Linked DNA regions of Callithrix jacchus. The main gene of each other region encodes a partner of the protein of the gene in region 3 in a complex. Links are inferred from orthologs where the notes say so. Each region holds a gene or a part of one and is shown on either strand. Other genes may lie near its edges.

Evidence for each region.
Region 1: PPP4R2 (region 3) and PPP4R3B share a complex: the UniProt entries of both Homo sapiens proteins name them as parts of the PP4 complex. The link is inferred for Callithrix jacchus from reciprocal best matches to the Homo sapiens genes PPP4R2 and PPP4R3B.
Region 2: PPP4R2 (region 3) and PPP4R3A share a complex: the UniProt entries of both Homo sapiens proteins name them as parts of the PP4 complex. The link is inferred for Callithrix jacchus from reciprocal best matches to the Homo sapiens genes PPP4R2 and PPP4R3A.
Region 4: PPP4R2 (region 3) and PPP4C share a complex: the UniProt entries of both Homo sapiens proteins name them as parts of the PP4 complex. The link is inferred for Callithrix jacchus from reciprocal best matches to the Homo sapiens genes PPP4R2 and PPP4C.
Region 5: PPP4R2 (region 3) and PPP4R4 share a complex: the UniProt entries of both Homo sapiens proteins name them as parts of the PP4 complex. The link is inferred for Callithrix jacchus from reciprocal best matches to the Homo sapiens genes PPP4R2 and PPP4R4.
Region 6: PPP4R2 (region 3) and PPP4R1 share a complex: the UniProt entries of both Homo sapiens proteins name them as parts of the PP4 complex. The link is inferred for Callithrix jacchus from reciprocal best matches to the Homo sapiens genes PPP4R2 and PPP4R1.

What each region holds. Positions count from the first base shown.
Region 1 is NC_133515.1:58,603,867-58,607,366, forward strand, and holds part of PPP4R3B (serine/threonine-protein phosphatase 4 regulatory subunit 3B), read left to right. Parts: intron 1-2,584; coding exon 2,585-2,716; intron 2,717-3,500. UniProt on the Homo sapiens protein: Regulatory subunit of serine/threonine-protein phosphatase 4 (PP4). May regulate the activity of PPP4C at centrosomal microtubule organizing centers.
Region 2 is NC_133509.1:126,317,256-126,320,755, forward strand, and holds part of PPP4R3A (serine/threonine-protein phosphatase 4 regulatory subunit 3A), read right to left. Parts: intron 967-3,500; coding exon 889-966; intron 809-888; coding exon 692-808; intron 1-691. UniProt on the Homo sapiens protein: Regulatory subunit of serine/threonine-protein phosphatase 4. May regulate the activity of PPP4C at centrosomal microtubule organizing centers.
Region 3 is NC_133516.1:54,865,091-54,868,590, reverse strand, and holds part of PPP4R2 (serine/threonine-protein phosphatase 4 regulatory subunit 2), read right to left. Parts: intron 3,492-3,500; coding exon 3,202-3,491; intron 2,946-3,201; coding exon 2,620-2,945; 3' UTR 1-2,619. UniProt on the Homo sapiens protein: Regulatory subunit of serine/threonine-protein phosphatase 4 (PP4). May regulate the activity of PPP4C at centrosomal microtubule organizing centers.
Region 4 is NC_133513.1:29,443,165-29,447,262, forward strand, and holds the start of PPP4C (serine/threonine-protein phosphatase 4 catalytic subunit), read right to left. Parts: upstream 2,801-4,098; 5' UTR 2,716-2,800; intron 2,491-2,715; 5' UTR 2,427-2,490; coding exon 2,329-2,426; intron 1-2,328. UniProt on the Homo sapiens protein: Protein phosphatase that is involved in many processes such as microtubule organization at centrosomes, maturation of spliceosomal snRNPs, apoptosis, DNA repair, tumor necrosis factor (TNF)-alpha signaling, activation of c-Jun N-terminal kinase MAPK8, regulation of histone acetylation, DNA damage checkpoint signaling, NF-kappa-B activation and cell migration.
Region 5 is NC_133509.1:128,995,894-129,000,087, reverse strand, and holds the start of PPP4R4 (serine/threonine-protein phosphatase 4 regulatory subunit 4), read right to left. Parts: upstream 2,801-4,194; 5' UTR 2,625-2,800; coding exon 2,508-2,624; intron 1,049-2,507; coding exon 975-1,048; intron 1-974. UniProt on the Homo sapiens protein: Putative regulatory subunit of serine/threonine-protein phosphatase 4.
Region 6 is NC_133514.1:53,379,232-53,382,731, forward strand, and holds part of PPP4R1 (serine/threonine-protein phosphatase 4 regulatory subunit 1), read left to right. Parts: intron 1-360; coding exon 361-456; intron 457-2,786; coding exon 2,787-2,972; exon of another isoform or gene 2,973-3,500. UniProt on the Homo sapiens protein: Regulatory subunit of serine/threonine-protein phosphatase 4. May play a role in regulation of cell division in renal glomeruli. The PPP4C-PPP4R1 PP4 complex may play a role in dephosphorylation and regulation of HDAC3.

The DNA.
Region 1 (3,500 bases), on a different chromosome or scaffold from region 3:
CCCTTTACCCCTAGTTACTTCAGTTTCCACCAGCTAAAAACTCTTACATTATCACAGTATAATTATCAAAATCATGATACTAAGATTTTTGTAATACTAACATCTGACTACAGTACTCATTCATATTTTATTCTTTGTCCCAGTAATGTTCATTTTAACCAAGACAAAAACAAAAAGTTTCTGGTCCATTATCCAACAACTTTGGTTGGTCTGTTGTTTCCTCACAATTAGTTCTAGTTACTTCTTTGTGGCAGGTATGGCATTGAAGTAATATTTCCTTTAGTATGTCACATCAAGAAATCTCCCCAACTTTTAAAAATGAATGTACGGGTTGTGGTGCTGGTCCCCCTAACTTTTAAAAATGAATGTGCAGATGTGGTGGTGGTGCATGCCTGTAATCCCAGCTACTTTTCAGGATGAGGTGGGAGGATCTCTTGAGCCCAGGAGTTCAAAACCAGCATGGGCAACATAGCAAGACCCCACTCAAAAAAATCAAAAGAGATTGAGCTTTCGTTTTCTCTGTCCAGGCTGTTTGTTATTACACAGACTTAAGAAGTTTGAGCATTATGTTCTGTAGAATTTGAGGAGCTACTTACATTTCACTCTTCAAATATATCAGAATGAGTTGAAAGAAGTATTGATGTGTGTGTGTGTGTGTGTGTGTGTGTGTGTGTGTGTATGTATATGCTATATATACTCATCCCTCAGTTTCTGTGAGGGGTGGGTTCCAGGAAACCACCTTCCCCTCCCACTGGGACATAAGGTTACCAAATTCCAATTATGCTCAAGTGCCTTATATAAAATGGCATAGAATTTGCATATAACCTATGCAAATCTTCCTTTTTATTTTACATTATAATACAGATATAATGCAAATGCTATAAATAGTTGTTATACTGTATTGTTTAGAGAATACTATTTAGAGAATAAGAATAATAAAAGAAAAAAGTCTGTACATGTTTCAGTATGAATACAACCATTCTCTTTTTTTTTTCCTTTCCCAAGTATTTTTCATTGTCACTTGGTTTAATCCGTGAATATAGAACCTACAGATACAGAGGGCCAACTCTATTTCTTACATACACACACATGTACTTAGAAGCATTCATTTAAGTTGCTGTAAAGCAAATTTTGTCAGTAGCTTTTTTTTTTTGAGACAGAGTCCCGCTCTCAGAAGGCTGGAGTGCAGTGATGTGATCTCGGCTCACTGCAACCTCCGCCTCCTGGGTTCAAGCAGTTCTCCCTGCCTCAGCCTTCCAAGCTGCTGGGATTACAGGTGTCAGCTACCGCACCTAGCTAATTTTTTTGTATTTTAGTAGAAACAAGGTTTTGCCATGTTGGCCAGGCTGATCTTGAACTCCAGACCTCAGGTGATCCGTCTGCCTTCGCCTCCCAAAGTGTTGAGATTACAGGCGTGAGCCACCGCACCCAGCCAATTAATGGACTGTTTATTAAATTCTTGTGTTTGTATTAAGCAAACTGCAAATGTTTTTACAATATCCACCAATTATTTTTACTCTACCAATTCAAATATTCTTGCTCTTGCCATTTCTTCTTTTCTCCTCTTATTTACTGTATCTATCAAACCTAAGATTTGCAGATGCTAATATTTTCTTGATCTTACCAGACATTGTCAGTAGATTGTTATGTAATTTTGTCATGATTACCACTTCACTGATAGTGACTATCAAATGCCATCAATTACAAAATGTATCTTAATTTTAAGAGGTTAAAATTTTTAAGAAATCTGTTTTAGAATCAATGAAACAAACGATTTTCTTTATCTTTTCTAATCAGAAAATAGGGATGCCAGCTTAGAATCAGGACAGTCTCTACTAAAAATATGAAAATTAGCCAGGCATGGTGGCTTACGCCTGTAATCCCAGCTACTCTAGAGGCTGAGGCAGGAGACTCATTTGCAGTGAGGTTGCAGTGAGCCCAGATTGCACTGCTGCACTCCAGCCTGGGCAACAGAATGAGACTCCCTCTCAATAAGCAAATTAAATAAATAAATAAATAAAACACAAGAGCATGTTACTAATGTAACAACGTATCTATTTAATATTAGATCGTTATATAACATGGTGTTCACTTGCATGAAGAGTTGTGTACTGGGTTATTTTTGGTCATTTTTTTTTTTTTTTTTGGCTTGGAAGGATTTTCTAATTAGAGGCTGACATAATTTATGTCTTATGTTCCCATGATCTTGCTTGTTTAGTCAACCTCTAAATTTATGCCAAAGTCTGAGACCCAAAATGAGAAACTGTTAGAATCTCCACTGAAAAAGAATTAATGCTAAAGAATTTTGTTTTTCCTTTTCTATAAGCTGCAGCATTCTCTGTTTTTGTTTTTTTCTTCTTTTTTTTTTTTTTTGGAGTGGGTTTTTTTTCACTCTAGTATGTAGTATGTTTCTAGAACTTTCAAAAGCATTAGAAATAAAAGTTTAAATAAGCTTTCCCATTCTTTGCTTTTTCTCAATATGATTCTCATTTTGCTCTTTCAGTTAGTGTTTTGTCTTAGATCTAAACCAGGACTAATGGAAACATATTTTGTTTTGTTTTGTTTTGTTTTGTTTTGTTACCAGGATATTCTTCTTATTAATGTGGTAATTGAACAAATGATCTGTGATACTGATCCTGAGCTAGGAGGCGCTGTTCAGTTAATGGGACTTCTTCGTACTTTAATTGATCCAGAGAACATGCTGGCCACAACTAATGTAAGAAATTATTCTGAGATAAAATGTTTTGGCCTAGTCAGTTTTAGGTAGCTTTTTAATAAAATTTTGAGGAACAAGTATTTTAAGTATTTGTCTAGTTGGTATTTAAGTAGCAGTGGTATTCTTGTAGCAATTTATTTGTGGCAAAATACAAAATTGTAATTGTTAAAATCTTAGTAAAATGTTAGGAATACCATTTATGGCCCTTGACCTCTATGTGTTAATTTCTTTAATACACAACATTGTGAATATACTTAACACTACTGAACTGTATACTTAAAAATGATAAATTTTTAAATAGTAAGTTTTATGTGGTTTTTATCACAAAGGAAAAATTTAAATATACTGAACTCAATTGCATAAGACATGTTAAAAGATTTAAGGATTAACTCCTTAATACTTAAGGATTAGACACTCCGGAATATTAATAGTCATTCTCTCAATATGGAGGAATATTTTTCTTTATAAGATTTCCTCATCTTTAGATAATATGTACATTGTTTTTAAATCATTACAAGTTTGTATGCCTAATTGTGTAAAAAAAAGTGGCAAATTCCAAAGACATTGTTTTCCAAATTATAAACTTTTAAAATGTTAAAAATTGATTTAAATGTTGTCTCTTCATCTAGTGACTTGATAAAGTGATTCAGTGGTTTTTCAAATTTGCATAGAGATGGTGAAATCTGGGGTTCCAAATTTTAAGTAGTTAAGTTGCTATCACATGGGCTTAACTGGTTCTTTTGCTTTCTAAAAATTTTTATTCTTCCAAAACAGGTTCAAATGT
Region 2 (3,500 bases), on a different chromosome or scaffold from region 3:
CCTAACAAAACAGCATATTAAAAAAACTGCAATGTGCCAGGCGCGGTGGCTCAAGCCTGTAATCCCAGCACTTTGGGAGGCCGAGGCGGGTGAATCACAAGGTCAAGAGATCAAGACCACCCTTGTCAACATGGTGAAACCCCATCTCTACTAAAAATACAAAAAATTAGCTGGGCATGGTGGTGTGCGCCTGTAGTCCCAGCTACTCGGGAGGCTGAGGCAGGAGAATTGCTTGAACCCAGGAGGCGGAGGTTGCGGTGAGCCGAGATCGTGCCATTGCACTCCAGCCTGGGTAACAAGAGCGAAACTCCATCTCAAAACAAACAAACAAACAAAAAAAACTGCAATGTAAAAGAAAAGTCAAAAAAATTCGTCTGCATATAAAACTCTTATTGTATGGATAAAATTATACTTTCTAAATCATTTATTTCTGTTTGCCTTTATATTTTAACATTTCAGCTAATAAATTGCAAAGCTGACAAATTATCATCAAATTATGGAAAATTCCTTAACTGTATTTTTTCAATACTGTGTGAAAACTGTCTAATACTGGAATTTTATAGGTTCTTTAAGTTAATGAACTACCCAGCTAATATTAAATATTGGCTATAAAAGAATATTTGCATGTTACACTAAAATATTAATTTTAGGATACAAAATGGTAACTAAAAATGAGGAGACACAAACTTACAAGGATGACTTCTAAAGCTGGTAGTATGCCCATGTTTGACAAAGTCTTGAAAAAAGCATCTCTGTTTTGAGGCTGTAGCGTTTGGGAAAATGCACAAAATTCTTTTAAAAAGTTAACCTGAAATTAAAAAAAAAGATTGTCAATATAAAACGTTTGTTGTTTTATTTTTATGCCTTTCATAATTTCTAATTTCTTACCAATTCCTGTCTTTTTTCCTCATCTGTTGCTTCATCTGTTAGTTGTGCAAACAAATCTGTCAGGAATTTTTCATCTTCCTGTGAAACAAAGGACATATGCAATTATGTTAATGCTAAGATTATACAAAAAAAATTTTTTTGAGTTGGAGTTTCACTCTTGTTGCCCAGGCTGGAGTGCAACGGCATGATCTTGGCTCACCACAGCCTGCCTCCCAGGTACAAGCGATTCTCCTGCCTCAGCCTCCTAAGTAGCTGGAATTACAGGCATGTGCCACCATGCCAGGCTAATTTTGTATTTTTAGTAGAGATGGGGTTTCACCATGTTGGTCAGGCTGGTCTCAAACTCCTGACCTTGTGATCTGCCTGTCTCAGCCTCCCCAAGTGTTGGGATTACAGGCGTGAACCACCGTGTCCCGCTCTAAAATATAATTTCAGGACACTATAATTTAAATGACAATAACTGAAAAAAGGAAAAGTAGTATTGGCAATGCTCTTTTGTTGTTCAAGAGAAGGAAAAACCAAACTAGTAAAGAATACAATTTTGGCAAGACTCTATTTTCTAAGCCTATTTAAAGGTGAGATAGTAAATATTTTGAGCTTTGTGGGCCATGTGGTCTCTACTATTAGTACTCAACCATGCTCCAGTAGTATGAAAGTAGTCACAGACACCTGTAAATGAATGGGTATGGCTGTATTTCAATAAAACATTATTTACAAAAGTAGGCATGCACCATCCTTTGTTGACCCCTCACTTTTATAAGTTTTATAACCTTAACTTTTAAAAGGTAGGTTCTACAATCTCTCAAATGAGAATGAAAATGAAGATAAAGCTACTTTAGTATTTTAAAGATACAGAGGATAACTCAATTATTTAAAAAGTAAAATTTAAAACTTTTTGTATTACTTCCTCATTTTATAATTGAGACACGGATTTTAAAATTTACCCAAGCCCAATACCCTTCCTGATTGCCTGGTCAGTTTCTCACCACTAGTTTTTCATCAAGATCTTGGTTTTTGTTTTGTTTTGTTTTTTGAGACAGTCTTGCTCTGTCACCTGGGTGGAGCACACTGGTGCCATCTCAGCTTACTGCAACCTCTGCCTCCTAGGTTCGAGCAATTCTCCTGTCTCAGCCTCCTTAGTAGCTGGGACTACAGGCATAGACCACTATACCCAGCTAATTTTGTAGCAGAGATGGAGTTTGCCATGTTGGCCAGTCTGGTCTTGGAACTCCTTGCCTCAAGCAATCCACTGGCCTGGCCCTCCTGAAGTGCTGGGATTACAGACATGAGCCACCATGCCTGACCCAAATTTTATTTTAATTACATACTATCTCAGCAAGTGGAAGTAGAGTCAATACCACTCCAGCCCAAGACATGCCTCACTCTAAATACACACACACTAGATTACCAGCTCCACATTCACTGTTGTGAATACTCCAGAAAAATCTTTTGTGGCCCTACTAAATTAGTTTGGTTATTACTTCCCTCTTTACTTTTTCTAAAATGTACAAACAGGTCATACCTCATTAATATGATCTTCACCATGTTTGTTACCCAAATAGGATCCAATTTCAAGACGTATCCCTAATATACTATATTCTACCAACTGGATATCAAATGGTTAAAAAAAGGCATTCTCTGAACTGCTGAGGTTGAGGGTATAGAAGTAGAGAAAATAAGGATGTTTATGGTACTACAAAGGAATAAATCAATCTTAACAAGAGGGTGTGATATTATGTGTGCGTGGGGCTACACAAGTGGGCAGGAACCTGCACTAAACAGTACCTCAATCACTTCTTGCTAAAACATTTGTAAAATGTTCACAGCAGCACTTTGGATAGAAGTGTCCGTCATCAAGAAAAACAGACATACTGGCAGCCAGTATTTTACACAGCATATTGCAGTGAAGCAAAGATTTGACAACTTGAAATTATTCATACTTAATGAGTAAAACTGGCATTTTGCATGTATGAAGACCAAGAAAACACATAAGTGACAAATCACCACATAACAAAACAGAACCATATGAAGCTAAAGAAAATGATCAGGAGAACTCAGGACTATCCAAGGAAATTAGGAATCAAAATTGGACCAGAACAGCGAGGCTCCATTAGCTAGGGAAAACTAGCTCCTCATTAAAGAACAAAAAGAAACTGGAACCAGAACCCTACTCCTTCCTCCATTATCAATCACGAGATGCTGTATAGAGGACTACTATTGTACTTAGCAGACTACATTGCCTATATTGTTTGTTTACACGTGTATCTTAAATGAATGGAAAACATGTCAAATCAGTCAATATGAACTAGAATTATTACTAGCTCTAGGAAAGCAGTTATAGGTAAAATGGCCTTTTCTATTTTAATTCATACTTTTCCTTTTTTTGCCCATCACTAGCTATTACTACTTAAGAAATAAAAAACTTTCTAAACAGGAACAGACACGAAGATTAAAACATATTGTTTCATATGTAATGTGTGCTACCAAACAGCTCCCATTACATTTATTGGCTTCCTTTCTATACTTAATAAATTAAGATTTCAAGTAATTATTTTACTTGAAGACCTGAGGTAAAGTCTTAAAAGATCTTCCAAGTCATAATACATTTATCT
Region 3 (3,500 bases):
ATCTTGAAATTCTTTTTACATGTTGGGTTATAGTCTAGAGAACAGGTAAGCAATCTGCTCAAGGTCAAAAACAAAACTAATCACTGAGGTCTTGATTCTTCACTCAGATCTTTTAACAGGACTTTGCTTGATGTATATTAAGAAATATGCCTAAAATCAGCCTTTTAAAAATTCATGAATGAATCAGTTACTATTAGAACTGACGTTTTCATTAAGCAAAGTCTGTGTTAAGTGCACCTATGCATACTTGCGGAAATTTACTTCCAAATGGCCATCAGTATCTAAAACCAGCTTAACAAGGTTTCCCAATTTAACTACAGAAGTATTCCACCTACCCTAAAGAAGATATTCCATGAGCATTCTACAATTATCTGTATAAACAGCAACAAGTTTGATCTATGATCAACATATGAGTATCTAATAAATATTAAAATTATTAAACTATAGATTAAAATGCAGATCTCTCATAGAGTTAAGTGATGTCACTTTGGTACATTCACCATTATTGTACTTTATTTAATAAAGAAATACATTTGCTCTTGCAAATATAGCAATTGCAAGTTTACAAATAAAACCACAGACCTCAAAGTCATAATGCTAAATCTTCAACTTATAACCAACAAAAGTACATCAATTCGTTTACAAATGGTCCATGGCACTACAATTAAAAAATATCAAAGGTCACAGGATCTTAGGTAGGTTTACTGACAATTTCATAAATATTCTAAAGAAACTTTCAAAATTTCTAAACTTAAATTTGTTTCATTTTAACATTTTTGAAAATCTTTTAAAATTTACAATGTTTAATTTTTTCTCCCTCTTGGGTACAGTTAATCCATATTAAGATTTTATTCGAACTATTAGACATAGTCATAAATATATCATCTAGCTGCTGTGAATCTGACAGTCAAGTCAGTCAGTAGTATATTATCCTACAAACATAAATAGATCCAAATCGTTTTTGTGTTTATAGTCATGACAATTTAAGTAGTCAAAACGCAAAACTCGTGGTTGCCCCCCAAATCACCCAAAAGCATATAATACAGTGTCAGAAATTGTTGGCATCACTTTTAGAAGCTCATCTGTGTAGTTCACGTATCTGAAACTTAAAAAAAGGGGGATTCTTTCATATTTTGATAAAAATGTACTCAAATATTTCATAACATTAATATTTATTGCTTTATATGAATACTGTATTGAAAGCCCAAGCATTCAGTTTACACACAGAAATTATACAATTATATACCGCTTCACAAAGGCAGTGAACACATTACATTCTACAAAATCTACTTTACAGAAATTTAAAAACTCTAAATATCAAAAGGTACAGCTGAAGAAACAGGTATAAATTTGGCAGCCAGTAATTTTGACAGGGAGGTTGCAGCTTGCATGACTTTAAATATGTAAATTTGAAAATATTGAATTTAGAGTAATCATTGTGCTTTGTGTTGGTCTGAAAAATATAACACTGGCTGTCGAAGAAGCATGTTCAAAAATATTTAATTCACTTCAAAATGTCATACAAATTATGGTGGTTTCTATGCACCCCTAAAGCTTCAGTCATTCAGCTCAGGTACATAACTAAAGTAATATATTAATTCTTCCAGTACAGTGGTGTTTCATACCATTGACATTTGCATACTCTAGAATAATTTAGAAAGACGTGTAATATTCACAATGTTCTGAAAAGCAAGCAAAAGGTCAAGGAACCTGCTTGGTTATTCTGAGATGGTCTCATATCAGCTTCATAAGCATTCATTCTACAAAAGAGTAAGCTAACATTTGAACACAATTTCCAAGATAAAGCATATTTTCTCATAAATAGTGAAGTCTTTTTCTCAGGCACCTCACAAGTATACAAAACAATTTGAGTTTGAACAGATCTCTTGGAATGTGTTTAGCCTGGTATTTCAACAGACTCAAGATTTCCAGGGTTTCACAAGGGCCAGATTTTATTTCAATTACTCAGAAGAGAAAGAAAATGTCTTCTGAAAGAGGTGAACTCAATCATTACCAATAGAAAAAGTATCCACTGTACTCATCTCTTATAGAAACAGAAAAATATAACATTTCCCCCCTTAGAATAATATATATATATATATATATTTATGTATATATGACTTAAAGTTCCATTGTACATAGCCAAATAATAAAATCTGGAAACCAGGTTGAAACCCTATAATTCACATGTTAATATGTTGAAACTATGACCAAAATATGAAAACTGCCAGAGCTATCAGAGAGACAAGAAGCTTCTTGCATATGCATAAACTAAATGTGATAATCTCAAAAAACTTTTCAAAATTACCTTCCAGTTTAAAAACTTTAATTCCAAATTAAAAAAAAAAAAATCTATACACAAACCACTGATTTGCCCAGACCAAAGAAAGATAAAGAGAAAAAAAAAAAAAAAGTCAGCGGTAAGGTAAGCAGGACCCAGAGGAGCTGATATTCACAGTTCTTACATATACAACTCTTTCAGGAATTATCCATAAAGTACTTTATTTTACAACCTGCTTCTCCTGTAAAACTAAAGGTCCACTTTATTACATAAAAGTTTTATACAGTGTTAAAACCAGAACTGTATGTAAAATACTGCATCTAAATGTTTCTAAATAGTTAGTCTTGTTCCATTGGTTCATCGGTGACTTCTGTGGCTTCATCGTAATTTCCCATGGATGATTCTGAAAGAATCTCTCCAGTTTTACTGGAATTGGATCCTACTAATTCTTCTGTTTCAAGGCAGTCAGAAGAACCACTACTTACAGGGCCTTCGTTTTCACTAACTCCAGAATGCAGTAAATCTTTCTCAGCTTGAGACACTTCAGATTTCTCCATCTGATTATTTTCCTCAGAAGTCTCTTCACTCACAGTTAAGGCATCATCAGATTCTTTTTCTTGATTTTTTCTTTCTGGGATCATTTCTCTTGATGTCATAAAAGACTCTAAAAATAAGCAAATGTTGTTGTAGTTAAATTTTATTTTCAAAATACCTCCACAGTTAAGTTTCATGAATTCTGATATTCTATAGTTCAAATCATATCCCCTGAAATTCAGCAGCAACTACATACAGGAGGGAGAAAAGCCCAACATCAGCATTATAAGGAGTTCCGTTATGTAAAATTCTTTCACGAAAAAAAATGAAGTACAAGAATTTGAGGATCTCCTTACTCCACCCTTTTACAGATGGTCTCTAAATACCTTCTTCCTCCTCTTCATCCTCTTCTTCATCCTCTTCTGTACAGTGCTGCCGGGTACAATGACTTTCTTTGTCTTTATCCTGAGATGAAGACGATGCTCCTGTTTCTTCTACCACAACTGACGAAGTTTCACTGGAAGTCGTTTGACTGGCTGTTTCTCTGACTTCACCTTCTTTGTCAAACCTGAGTCTTTTTACCTCACGCTCCTCGGCTTCCACGGTATCTTCATCTGGATGTTTATTTTTCATAGGGCTCACTGAGGAAACTTCTGATTCAGATGTCGAAGAGTCACTGTAAATG
Region 4 (4,098 bases), on a different chromosome or scaffold from region 3:
TGGCCTAGTACCTCCTAGCTCCACTCAGTTTCAACTGGGCAGGACTCTCCACCCGTTAGCCTTCCACAGCTCTCTGCTGCCTCACACCCCATATGAAAATCTAAATGCCTCCGCCTGGCTCTCAGTGACCACAGAGCACAGTCAAAAACCTGCATGCACAACTAACTTCCCCTCCAACTAGCTGCACGATGTTGGACAAGACATTATCTACTCAGAGGCTGTTTCTTCTTCCACGAAATGGGGTTAAGTACTCAGCCCCGTCATGCCTACTCCTTAGGCTGTTACAAGGAGCCATGGAGACTGAATATATAACTTCCTCCTATTCTGCAAACTCCAGCATGCTATCCAAGCATTATCTACCATCGCCACCACACTGATCCAAGGCCTGCGCAGGAGATAAGACTTCAGAGGAAAAGAATAGTGCCAGACAACAACAGGTTTAAGTTCCTAAAAATGCCCATCAGGACTGAGGGAGAGGGGACAATTAAAAACACGGTGGGGCAGGTCTGGTCAGGGACGTTTCCTTCAGCTGGCAAAAGAGAAAAGCCACAGACAGGGTGAAAAAGAGGCCCACCCTGCTCACGATCCCCTCAGAGGCCCTGTCTGGCTGCAGGGAGTCTGTGAGGTGGGGCCGAGCAAAAAGCCTGGGGGCCACAGATTCAGAACTGAGCTCTGCCATGTCCTCAGTGGGTGACCTCAGTCAAGTCACCAGGCCTCTACGAGTCATGGTTTCCTATTCGGTAAAATGGAGCAAATGATTCCAACCTCTCAGGATTGCTGGGAGGAAGAGACGAATAGACGTTTTTTCGCCAGTACAGGGCCAGGCCAATAGTGGGTGTATAGTTCAATAAACATAGGGTAATTCTGCGGGCTCTTCTGCCGCAATTCACCAGCCTGGTAGAAGTCACAATCACACAGTTCCCCAGAGAAGGCAGGTAATTAATTAAACCCCTGACTGTTCCTCACACTCTCAGGGCCTCCAATGCTACACTTGTCCTGCTTGGAATGCCCTTCCCTCACTGGTCCTGCCTGTCAGCTAGCCAAATTATCTTCATCCTTCAAGGTCTACCTCTATTTAGTAGCCTTCCCTGATGGCTTTAGCCCATCTCATCGTTGCCCTCATCCAAGAGAAATAGAACACCTAGTGACTATCAAGCATGTATGCTGTACCAAGACACTGTGCTAAACTTAAGCAGCAACTCACTGAATTTTCACAACCATCTTATTAAGTACTATTAACTCTGCTTTGCAAGTAAAGACACCTTAAGATCACTAACACAACTAGTAAGTGGCAGAGTTCAGATTCAAACCTAGAGCCATCTCACACTCCAAAACCTAGAGCCTTAGGTCATCCTACTTCCCACAGAACTTTAAACTGGCCTTCCTATCATGCTTAATTCTTTTTTTTTTTTTTTTGAGATGGAGTTTCACTGTTGTTACCCAGACTGGAGTGCAATGGCACGATCTCGGCTCACTGCAACCTCCGCCTCCTGGGTTCAAGCAATTCTCCTGCCTCAGCCTCCCGAGTAGCTGGGACTACAGGCGTGCACACCACCATGCCCAGCCAATGTTTGTATTTTTAGTAGAGACGGGGTTTCATCTTGTTGACCAGGATGGTCTCAATCTCTTGACCTCGTGATCCACCTGCCTCGGCCTCCCAAAGTGCTGGGATTATAGGCGTGAGCCACCACGCCCGGCCATATCATGCTTAATTCTATCCTGGCTTACTTGCTACGATTTCTCAGGGTCCCATCCTGAATGTGAGTGATCCAAATCCACCTTCTTGCATTATGGCCTGAAAAAGGACAGGACACTAAGAACTGGCTTCAGACTCCACTCCTTACTTGTGGGTAACTTTGAACATGACAGTCCTCACCTGTAAAATGAGTACAATACGCCAACCTTTATGGGTGGTTGTTGGAATTCAGACTTTTATAAATCACAGCGTCTTTAACCTTCCTGTCTTAAACCTTTGTTTTGTTGCTGACTCTTTTACCAACTCCTTATTCGAGGCCTGTCTCACAGTTCGCCACCCACCCCCAGAAGCTTCTGTCCCCCAGACAGATGGGCTTGTTTCCCTTGGTTTCCTAAGTACTTTACGTAACACTCTTACTCCACTGGAAACACATCTTCTAATACTTTAAGTGTCTTTATCCAGCTGTCTTCCCCCAGCAGGCTAGCTCTTCCTCGAGCGCAGTGGCCCCATCCCGTTCCTCTCTGGGAAAGCTTCCAGGAAGGGGCAAGCCCAAAATTCTCAGTTGGGTTTGCCCCAGGCCAGAACCCGTGGGCGGCGGCTTGGCCTCCCTTCCGTGGGGCCAACGGGCTCACCTGGCCTTAGCGCACAGGGCCTTGACTTCGCTCTCCTTGATGAGCTCGCAGCGACGCAGCTGCTCGATCTGCCGGTCCAGGTCGCTGATCTCCGCCATGGCCCACCCCCCGGCGCGGGTCAGAGTCGGGGCCACCGCCCCCTCCGCACCGCACAGGGGTCTCCTGGGAAAGGCCAAGACAAGCCCGCGGATTAGAGTGTCCGTGAGGGGCGAGGAGCGGACAACTGGATTCTAGGGCCAGCCCGGCCCCACCCCCACCCCCGCCTCCCTTCACATCGGCCCCGGGACCCCCCCAGCGTCCCACGGCCTGGCCGGACCCCCACTAACTCCCGTCGAATCCCACGGTTCGCGCTAAGGACGGTGGCCTAGAGGGGTCTCGCATTATTACCGCCGCTGCGACTCCGGTTCCGGCTATGGGGCGCTTCCTGCCTCCCGACTTCCCTCCGCTTTGGGCCGCCGCCGCCGCCGCCTCTACTTCCGGCCCCGCCGCGGAAGCAAAGGGAAGCCAGTTCCGCCGCGCGCCGGATGTGGCGTCATACACGCTCCTCACCCTCCCTCCTCGCGCCCCCGGCACCACTTCCCAAGTCTGAAATCGGGAAGGAGCGGGAGTAATCCGGTGGCAGCTGGAGGCCAGCGGAAGTGTTTGTGGGCTCAGCCGCAGGTGATGTTGGGCTGTTAGAAACCCTAGACCAGTCCCCTCCCATTTCATTTTATAAAAATGTTTAAATTTAGACAACTTTCTTTTTTCTTTTTGAGACGGAGTTTGGCCCTTGTTGCCCAGGTTGGAGTACAATGGCGCGATCTAGGTTCACCGCAACTTCCGCCTCCCGGGTTCAAGCGATTCTCCTGCCTCAGCCTCCCGAGTAGCTGGGATTACAGGCATGTGTGCCACCACGCCTGGCTAGTTTTCTTTTTTTTTTTTAAGACGGGGTTTCACCATATTGGTCAGGCTGGTCCTGAACTCCCGACCTCAGGTGATCCTCCCGCCTTGGCCTCCAAAGTGCTTGGATTACAGGCGTGAGCCACTATGCCCGGCCTAGTTTTGTATTTTTAGTAGAGACAGGGTTTCTCCACATTGGTTAGGCTGGTCTCAACCTCTTGACCTCAGGTGATCCTTCCGCTTAGGCCTCCCAAAGTGCTGGGATTACTTTGGGTTCATGGGCGCGTGAACCACTGCGACCGGCCACAACTTTTATTTTTTTCTAAATTAGAGATAGTGTCTTGCTCTCTTGCTCAGGCTGGAGTCCAGTGGGGCGATCATAGCTAACTTCAATCTCGAACTCCTGGGCTCAAGCGATCCTCCCTCTTCGGCCCCCCAAAGTGCTTGGATTACAGGCCTCAGTCACCACGCCTGGTCATCCCCATTTCAGCTAGGGAAACAAGTCGAGCTGGGACTAGGCCTTGTAACTTTATGTTACACTTTTTTAAGTTACACATTTTTGTTATTTATCCGACACCACAATCCTTGGAGGATCCAACTTTGTCTTTTTCAATATTGAAGCCCCAGTGCTTAGAATAAGGCCTGGCATGGTAAGCATTTAGAAATACTTGTTAATACATAGAAATACTTAATACTTGTTCAATGGATGAAGGAAGCCCAATTCAAATCTCTTCCGGTGCCTTCAGAGAAATCTTTGCCATTGACAGCTTCAGAAGTTAACAAATTGGAGTCCACCTTTCCTATGCCAAGCCTGTATCTCAGTCAGCATGATTTCTGTGATTCCAAAATGTTCCCCTTAACATTTCTTAGTTGCTTTTTCTTTCTTTCTTT
Region 5 (4,194 bases), on a different chromosome or scaffold from region 3:
GGGATTTTTTTTTCAAAGGATCATTCAGTGAATAACACGGGACTGGAAACACGATCTATAAACAAGAAAGGAGAACAAGAGACTTGCCAGTACCTGAAACTGGCGCTGAGCTAAAGAAACAAGACAACAAATACCCTAGGAGGTAAATAACATCAGCTTTCAAAATCTGATTCTGAAAAAAAGAGAAAGTGAAGACTAATTTGCCAAAAGGGAAAAAAATGTCGTGTAAACTAATGAAAAATTTTTACGTAAATATGCACAAAATGCTGTAGGAAATTTCTGTTTCTAAAGGATTTTCATCAATTCGTTAAACATCATTAATGTTCACTGTATTAGTTTTTAAGATGCTCAGTCTACAAGGCAATGTTTTAAATAGTTCAGAAAAATCTTGTAAATATTTGCAGTAACCATTTGCCTTAAGCAATTCTGTAGAGCCTGTGAGATGGTTTGAAATTTAAACGACAGTAGGCCCAACTAAGTTTCTAAAACCCCTCAGACAAAATAATAAAGCTTGCATAGCAAAAGTAATACAAATAGGACATCCTGAACAGCAAAAGTAACTATCACATTTGTGGATTTTTTTCCATATAGTAGATCCCATATAATGTTCATACTCTACAATGAACTTAAAACTAATCACTGTGTACTCAAGTCTCATCTAAACTTACTGAATCTTACATGAGAAGAACCAATGCCAGAAAAGAACAAAAAAAGATGAGGTTCAACTCAAACCATCTGTTCTTCCTCCTCCAAGCAACATTCTATAAATTACGTATTTTATTTGGGTTCTCAAATTCGTAAGTCCACAGCCAAATATAATTTATAATACAGTTAAGTACTATGCACACAAAAGTACTTTGTTGAAGTGGCTAAGTAAATCTGAACATAACGGGAACATACATTTCAGAAAGCATTCATCGATGCTGCCACAGGGGGAAAAAAAAGAGCAATTTTACAGAATGATTAGGAAATACCTGAGCAGATAAACAGCCCTTTCAATGTCACTGAGGTCTTCATCAACTGTCAATCTTTCTATTTCTTCTGGTGTCTGTCAAGGGTAAAATACACATTATGCACCACAAACATTGGGTCAGTCTTGCCCCCCAACCTCCCAGTGAACCTCTATGAGGATAAAAGAATGAAAAAGTTTCACAATTAAGCATTAACAATGAAAAGTAATCAAGGAGCTGAGGATACCAGGCAACATCAATCACGGAGGTCTCTAATTGGGTGGGCGAGTTTGGGGAGGGGATTGTTTTTTTCTGTTTTTCTTCTTCTAGCTTCTAGACTGCAGCTTGAGAATCGCATCGTGGCTTCAGAACCTTGGCTGAAATCCATTTCATACGCATGTTATAAAACTAATAAATACACACACTTTTTATCTCTAATACCTCAAGGCTATTTCTCCAGCAGTTTCCAACCCACGAAATGCTAAAAGGGGGGATGGATGAAGACTGCAGACGAGTGGGCATGAAAAGGACAAGATCTGGAGTGGGGGAGGGAGGAAAATAAACTCTGGGGCTGGAAGAAAAACAGAGATTTGAGATTGCGGCAGGTGGGAATTAGACCAGCTAAAGCAGCTATTAAGCGATGGTCAGAAAAGGGGTCCGTAAATTAGGTTTGCCTGCGCTAAGGGCAGGAACCTCCCGGAGGAAGATGACTCTGCGGGGTGGGGAAGCCAGTGGGGGCGGGGGGAACAAGGTGAAGGTTGACTCCCTCAAGGGGGTTGGGGAGCAGGGTCCCAGCTAGAGTCCTGGAGGGGCTGGGAGGAAAGGATGCGCGGTGACTCAGGATGGCGGCAGAGGATCGCGAGGGCTTTGAAGACCGGAACCAGGACGACACTGAGAAAGGGTGCTAGCTGGGAGGCGAGGGGAGGCCGGGCTGCCTCGAGGGCAAGGGGACCGGAGCTTGATCTGACTCGGTGGGCTAAGGGTGAGGGGATGGGACACGGGTGGTGTCTCCGGGAGAGGTGGGGGGAGGAGTAGGAGCGGTGTGGACCAAGGGGTGGGCCTGGGGCCAGAACCCGGGCGTCGTCAGCGGACCAGGGGTCGGGGAGCCCAGGAGAGGACCGGGGAGAAGTGGGCTGCGGCCTCGAGAGGCAGCTCCCGCGGGGGGGGCGGAAGGAAGGAAGGGGGCCCGCGACTGAGGACGCTGGGGCTGCCCCGAGGGCTGGGGCTCGGCCGTTCCTGGGGGTGGGACGGGGGGATTCGGACGCCTCAGGAGGGGCAAGGGCCGCGGGGCTGGCGCCCGGTCAGGGCTGCTACAGGGACCCGTCTCTTGGGGATGGGGGTCCAGACTGAGAGGACCGAGTCCGCTCTGAGGAAGGGTCCGGGAGGAGCTGGCTTAGGGCGACAGGGGCTGGAGGAGGACAGAGGGGCCGGTCTGACTGAGAGGGTCCCGGCCGCCCGGAGAAGGGGAGGGTGGCGGGGTGGGGCGAAGGCCGGCGCGGGGCCGCGCGAGGCAGGCGGCCGGACGCCCTGAGGGCAGGTCTTCTCCCCGGGGCGCACCTTGAGGCTCCGGCGGACCGGCCTCTCGATGATGGTGAGCTCCTGCAGGTCCTCCATGTAGCCGAACAGGCAGTTCTGACTGAAATCCATCGCGGCGGCCGGCGGCGGCGGATGCATGGACCGCCGGGCACCTTCGCCACCAGGGCCGGAGCGGCCCCGGGATGCCGGACGCGCTCAGCCCAGCGGCCGCCCACCAGCAGGACTTTCTCCCGCTTTCGGCCGCCGGAGCAGAACGTGAGGCTGGCGGGTGGCTGGAGCACGAGCGCAGCCCGGCGAGGGGGCGGGGCGGGCCCGGCGAGGGGGCGGGGCAAGGCGCGCGGGCGCGCTGCGGGGGCGGGGCCAGGGGCGGGTGCCCGCCACCTTGCCCGCCTCGGCCCCGCCCCCTCCCGGGCGCCGCGCACACGCGGCCGGACGCAACTGCCGAGCAGCTACGCGGCAGCTCCGCCACCCCTCTGCGCCCGCTCCCCGCCGCCCTCCTTAACCCCCCGTCCGCCCGCAACTGAGGGCGCCCCACCCCGCGGCGCGTGCGCAGAGCCTTTTGCCTCCCGCAGCCGGCAGAGGCGGGCTGGGGGCGGGGAGGCTGAGCCAATGAGAGCGGAAGCCGAGGAGAGGAAGCTGGCGGGGCTGCGGCTGCACCTACTGACTTAACTGTCCAGTTATTCCCAGACCGCCCACCCTAGCTGGCGGGGCAGCGGACCCAGAGACCGCCCCCGGCACAGCTCCAACCCTGGAGGAGGGCTGAGTGCCGCAAATAAGCAATTAGGACGTGAGGTGCCCGGCAGACGGGGGGTGACTAGCTTTTGGGCAAGGGCAGCAATCGGAAAAGGCCTCCTGGAGAAGAGTCATTTAAACTGAATCTTAGAGACCGATAAGGCTTTCCTAAGAGAAATAATTAGAGCAAGCCCGTCTGGGGTTGAAGCCTGGGTGTGTTTGGTTGGGTTTGAGAAGTGCCGTCAAAGTAGAGCTCCGGGCTCAGGCATCCAGGGCTTGGCGAGGTGGGTGGAAGAGGAAGAGGACCTAGGTCCTCGGTGGGGGAAAGCCCTGCTCTGGACAGCCACGTTGAGTCCCTTGCACTTAGTTCTGTTAACAATGGGAAGCGATGGAAGGGGGATTGGGGCGATTGTTTTGGACCTGGGGAACAAGTTATGTTGGTACCCTTCGGCTCGTCAGTCAGCAAGGCCCCTTTTTTGTTTTTATTTTCCACTTGTTCCTCCACACCTTTCTTCTTCCCACCATATGCGCCCTCTTCTGAATTAAGGTATGTCCCAGTTCATGCACTGTATACAGCCTCAAAAGATACATGGTTTGTGTCTGTTTTTAACATACATGAATGGCGTTGTGATGAGAACTCATTCTGTTCCTTGTTTTTTCTCTTAGAAGATCTATTCATGTGACACTATACAACGAGTTCATTAATTATGACCAATAATAATATTTGATTTCTGTGTCTAACATATTCTACTAACCATTTCCTCAATAACGGACAGTGAGGTCGCCAGCAGTTCCTTGCTACACAGACCACGTTGAAATGGTTGTTAGACGTGTCCCTTACAGAACATAAGAAATCGAGTCGCTGGGTCATGAGGTCCACAGCGCTTGGCTTCACTCTGTCATGTTTCCCTCCAGATGGCTTTGCATTGACACCCACACCAATGGCACATGAAGGTGGGAAGATACCCGTTTCCCA
Region 6 (3,500 bases), on a different chromosome or scaffold from region 3:
ATAGAAGAAAAACTGCATGTGACACTCCATGGTCTCTAGAACAATGGACCAAAAGAATCTTCCCAGTACTATTTTATGAATAAGCCAATTTGAGCTATTTGGACCATTTCAAAATTACTTTGAGATATTATTTTCAGTTACTCTCATTTTTCTGGAATTGGTTTTCATGCATTTGGCAACCTATTCAGTAAGATAGATTTAAAGCAGGAAAAGTTCTTAGGTATGTTTATAAGCTTTAAAAACATGAGGAATTTATATGTGTTATTACTTTTGGCAGTCTTGAAAGGTAAGTAACTTAGATAGCTAAAATGAAGATGTACAGACAGGATAGCTCTTTAAGTAGTTATTTTTTCCTAACAGAATATGGACTCCACTCTTCACTATATTCACAACGATTCAGACTTGAGCAACAATAGCAGTTTCAGCCCTGATGAGGAAAGGAGAACTAAAGTACAAGTAAGTGACCAAAAAAATGTATTCTTTTGTGTGTCTGTTCCTAATTCCTCTTTTAGAGCCCATTTCTGACCTAATTTGACCCTTCTTTATGATGAATGTTTTAAAAATTATGACTAGTATATCATATTTTCCATTGAAATAGTAGAGGAACATGTAAGCACAAATCTTCCCTTTCCTACCCCTGTGATCCCATTCTTCCTTCAGAGTGACCATGATCATGAACCCTGCTATCTTCCTTCATGTATCTTCATGGGCACATAAATGTACACATGTACCCCTTTTTATCATTCAAGACAACTGTGGTCATCCCATCCTACCTAGGTATGTCCTCATGTTCCCATTGCCAATAATTATAAAATATAGCTTGATTTCAGAGATGAAAATATTTTTAAAAAGGCTCAAAGCCATTTTAAAGTGCTGTCAGTAACAAGCTGCAAGGAAACTGTGCTCATGGAATCACTGGAATGTGATAGCTGTGCCTTGCCTTGCTCTTTTTTTTTCCTCTTCTAACAATGTGACCTGGTGATCTCTCCTGTAAGCACACCAGGACTCCCTCACCTTCACAGCAGCGCAGCACAGTGTTAACGCCATACCTGTTGTCTCCCTCGTAAGAAACCGTGAGAGATGCTACCTGTTGTAGTTTCACTTTGATGCTATAAGTAGTGCTACATTCACCATGACTGCCTATACTTGTTGTTTGCTTCTAGGACTTTATTATTATTTGAGATGGAGTCTCCCTCTGTTGCCCAGGCTGGAGTGCCGTGGTGCCGTCTCGGCTCACTGCACCTTCCACCTCCTGAATTCAAGCCATTCTCCTGCCTCAGCCTCCCAAGTACCTGGGACTACAGTCACAAGCCACCCTGCCCAGCTAATTTTTGGTATTTTTAGTAGAGATGGGATTTCGCCATTGGCCAGGCTGTCACGAACTCCTGACCTCAAGTGATCCGCCTGCCTTGGCTTCCCAAAGTGCTGTGATTACAGGTGTGAGCCACCACACCTGGCCTGGACTATATTATTATTGTTAGAAGTAACAATAATTTCCCAGGTCAAATGGTATATTTTGTTGTTATTTTTAGAGATGGGGTCTCAGCTCCCTCTGTCACCCAGTCTGGAGCACAGTGGCAGGATCATAGCTCACTGCAGCCTCGAACTCCTGGGCTCAAACAATCGATCCTTCTGCCTCAGCTCCCCAAGTAGCTGGGACTATAGATGCGCACTACCGTATCTAGCCAATTTTTATTTTATTTATTAAAAATGAAATATTCAAAACAGTGTTCTGAAACATGCTTCTTCCCCACTTACAGACATATTTTCAATATTTCAAATCATTATTTTAATGAGTTTATTTCCATTTTCATTTTGTGTATATGGGTAATTTGTTTATGTAGTTCAAAATTCAAGATACTTAAAAGGCATTCAGTGATGTTTCCTTCTCAGTTTTTCTTCTCCATTCATCCATTTTGCTTTTGAGATACAACCAGTTTTACCTTTATGTCCTTCCATAGCTATATTATACACACCTAGGCAAGATCGCAAATATGTTCTTCTTTTCTTCACATATATACAAATTGATTAGAGATGTGCTCTTCAATTTTGTATAAAAAATTGCTTAAATTTTCATCTAAAGAAGCCATGTTTTTAATTTTTGTTTTGAGGCAGAGTCTCGCTCTGTCACCCAGGTTGGAGTACAGTGGTACTATCATGGCTCACTGCAGCTTCTACCTCCCTGGGCTCAAGTCATCATCTCACCTCAGCCTCCTGAGTAGCTGGAATTAGAGGTGTGAGCCACCATGCCTGGCTAATTTTTTAATTTTTTAGTAGAGACAGGGTCTCACCATGTTGCCCAAGCTGGGCTCAAGTGATCCACCCACCTTGGCTTCTCAAAGTGCTGGAATTACAGGTATGAGCCACTGTGCCTGGCTGTTTTTTTTTTAATGAACATGTAAATTGTGCAGAGCACCTGTTATACTGCATTTGCTGGGTTACAACAAGCATTATCATCTCTGCCTACATTTAAAGGTGCTGGTGTTATTTTAATGTGTCTTTTCAATTTAGTAATTAATTCTAATTGTCCTTTGAGCTATTTTCTGTTTTAAGATGTTATCCATTGTTTTCCTAGAGTTACTTTTATTTGTTCATATATGTTTCCCTTAACATGGTTTTCGTATCTCTTAGTTTATTAGATACCAGAAAATTTGGCATTGGTTTTTCCCATTTGAGATGCTATGTTAAAATCTGTATATTTAAAAATAGTTTTGCTCAATTGATATCTAAACTGCTCAAAATGTATCTCAGCTCCTCAGTCACTGTGGTTTCTCTTTCTCCATTAGGATGTTGTACCTCAGGCTTTGTTAGATCAGTATTTATCTATGACTGACCCTTCTCGTGCACAGACGGTTGACACTGAAATTGCTAAGCACTGTGCATATAGTCTCCCTGGTGTGGCTCTGACACTCGGCAGACAGAATTGGCACTGTCTGAGAGAGACATATGAGACTCTGGCCTCAGACATGCAGGTGAGTAAAGCAGTTAAAGAATTAGCAGAACATGCATGTGGAAAGCACAGTGCTTTGCTTTTTGTAACCTAAAGAATTTCTGTTCATGTTCTAGCATGTACTTAATGCTATAGGAAATTATGTATGGAAGAGCTTAAGAGTAATAATGGCTTCTTCTCCGATAAAACATCAAATGGTGGATGATGCTGGTGCAGCGGAGGGGGGCGTGGGCGGGGATGCCGGAGGCCCCGGGCACCCTGGGGGCCCTGGGATGGGGAACCGTGGTGGCTTCCAGGGAGGTTTTGGCAGTGGCATCTGGGGCCGGGGTCGTGGCCACGGAGCTCGTGGACGCAAAGCTGAGGAAAAGGAGTGGATGCCTGTCACCAAGTTGGGCCGCCTGGTCAAAGACATGAAGATTAAATCTCTGGAGGAGCTATATCTCTTCTCTCTGCCCATCAAGGAATCTGAGATCATTGACTTTTTCCTGGGGGCCTCTCTCAAGGATGAGGTTTTGAAGATTATGCTGGTGCAGAAGCAGACCCATGCTGG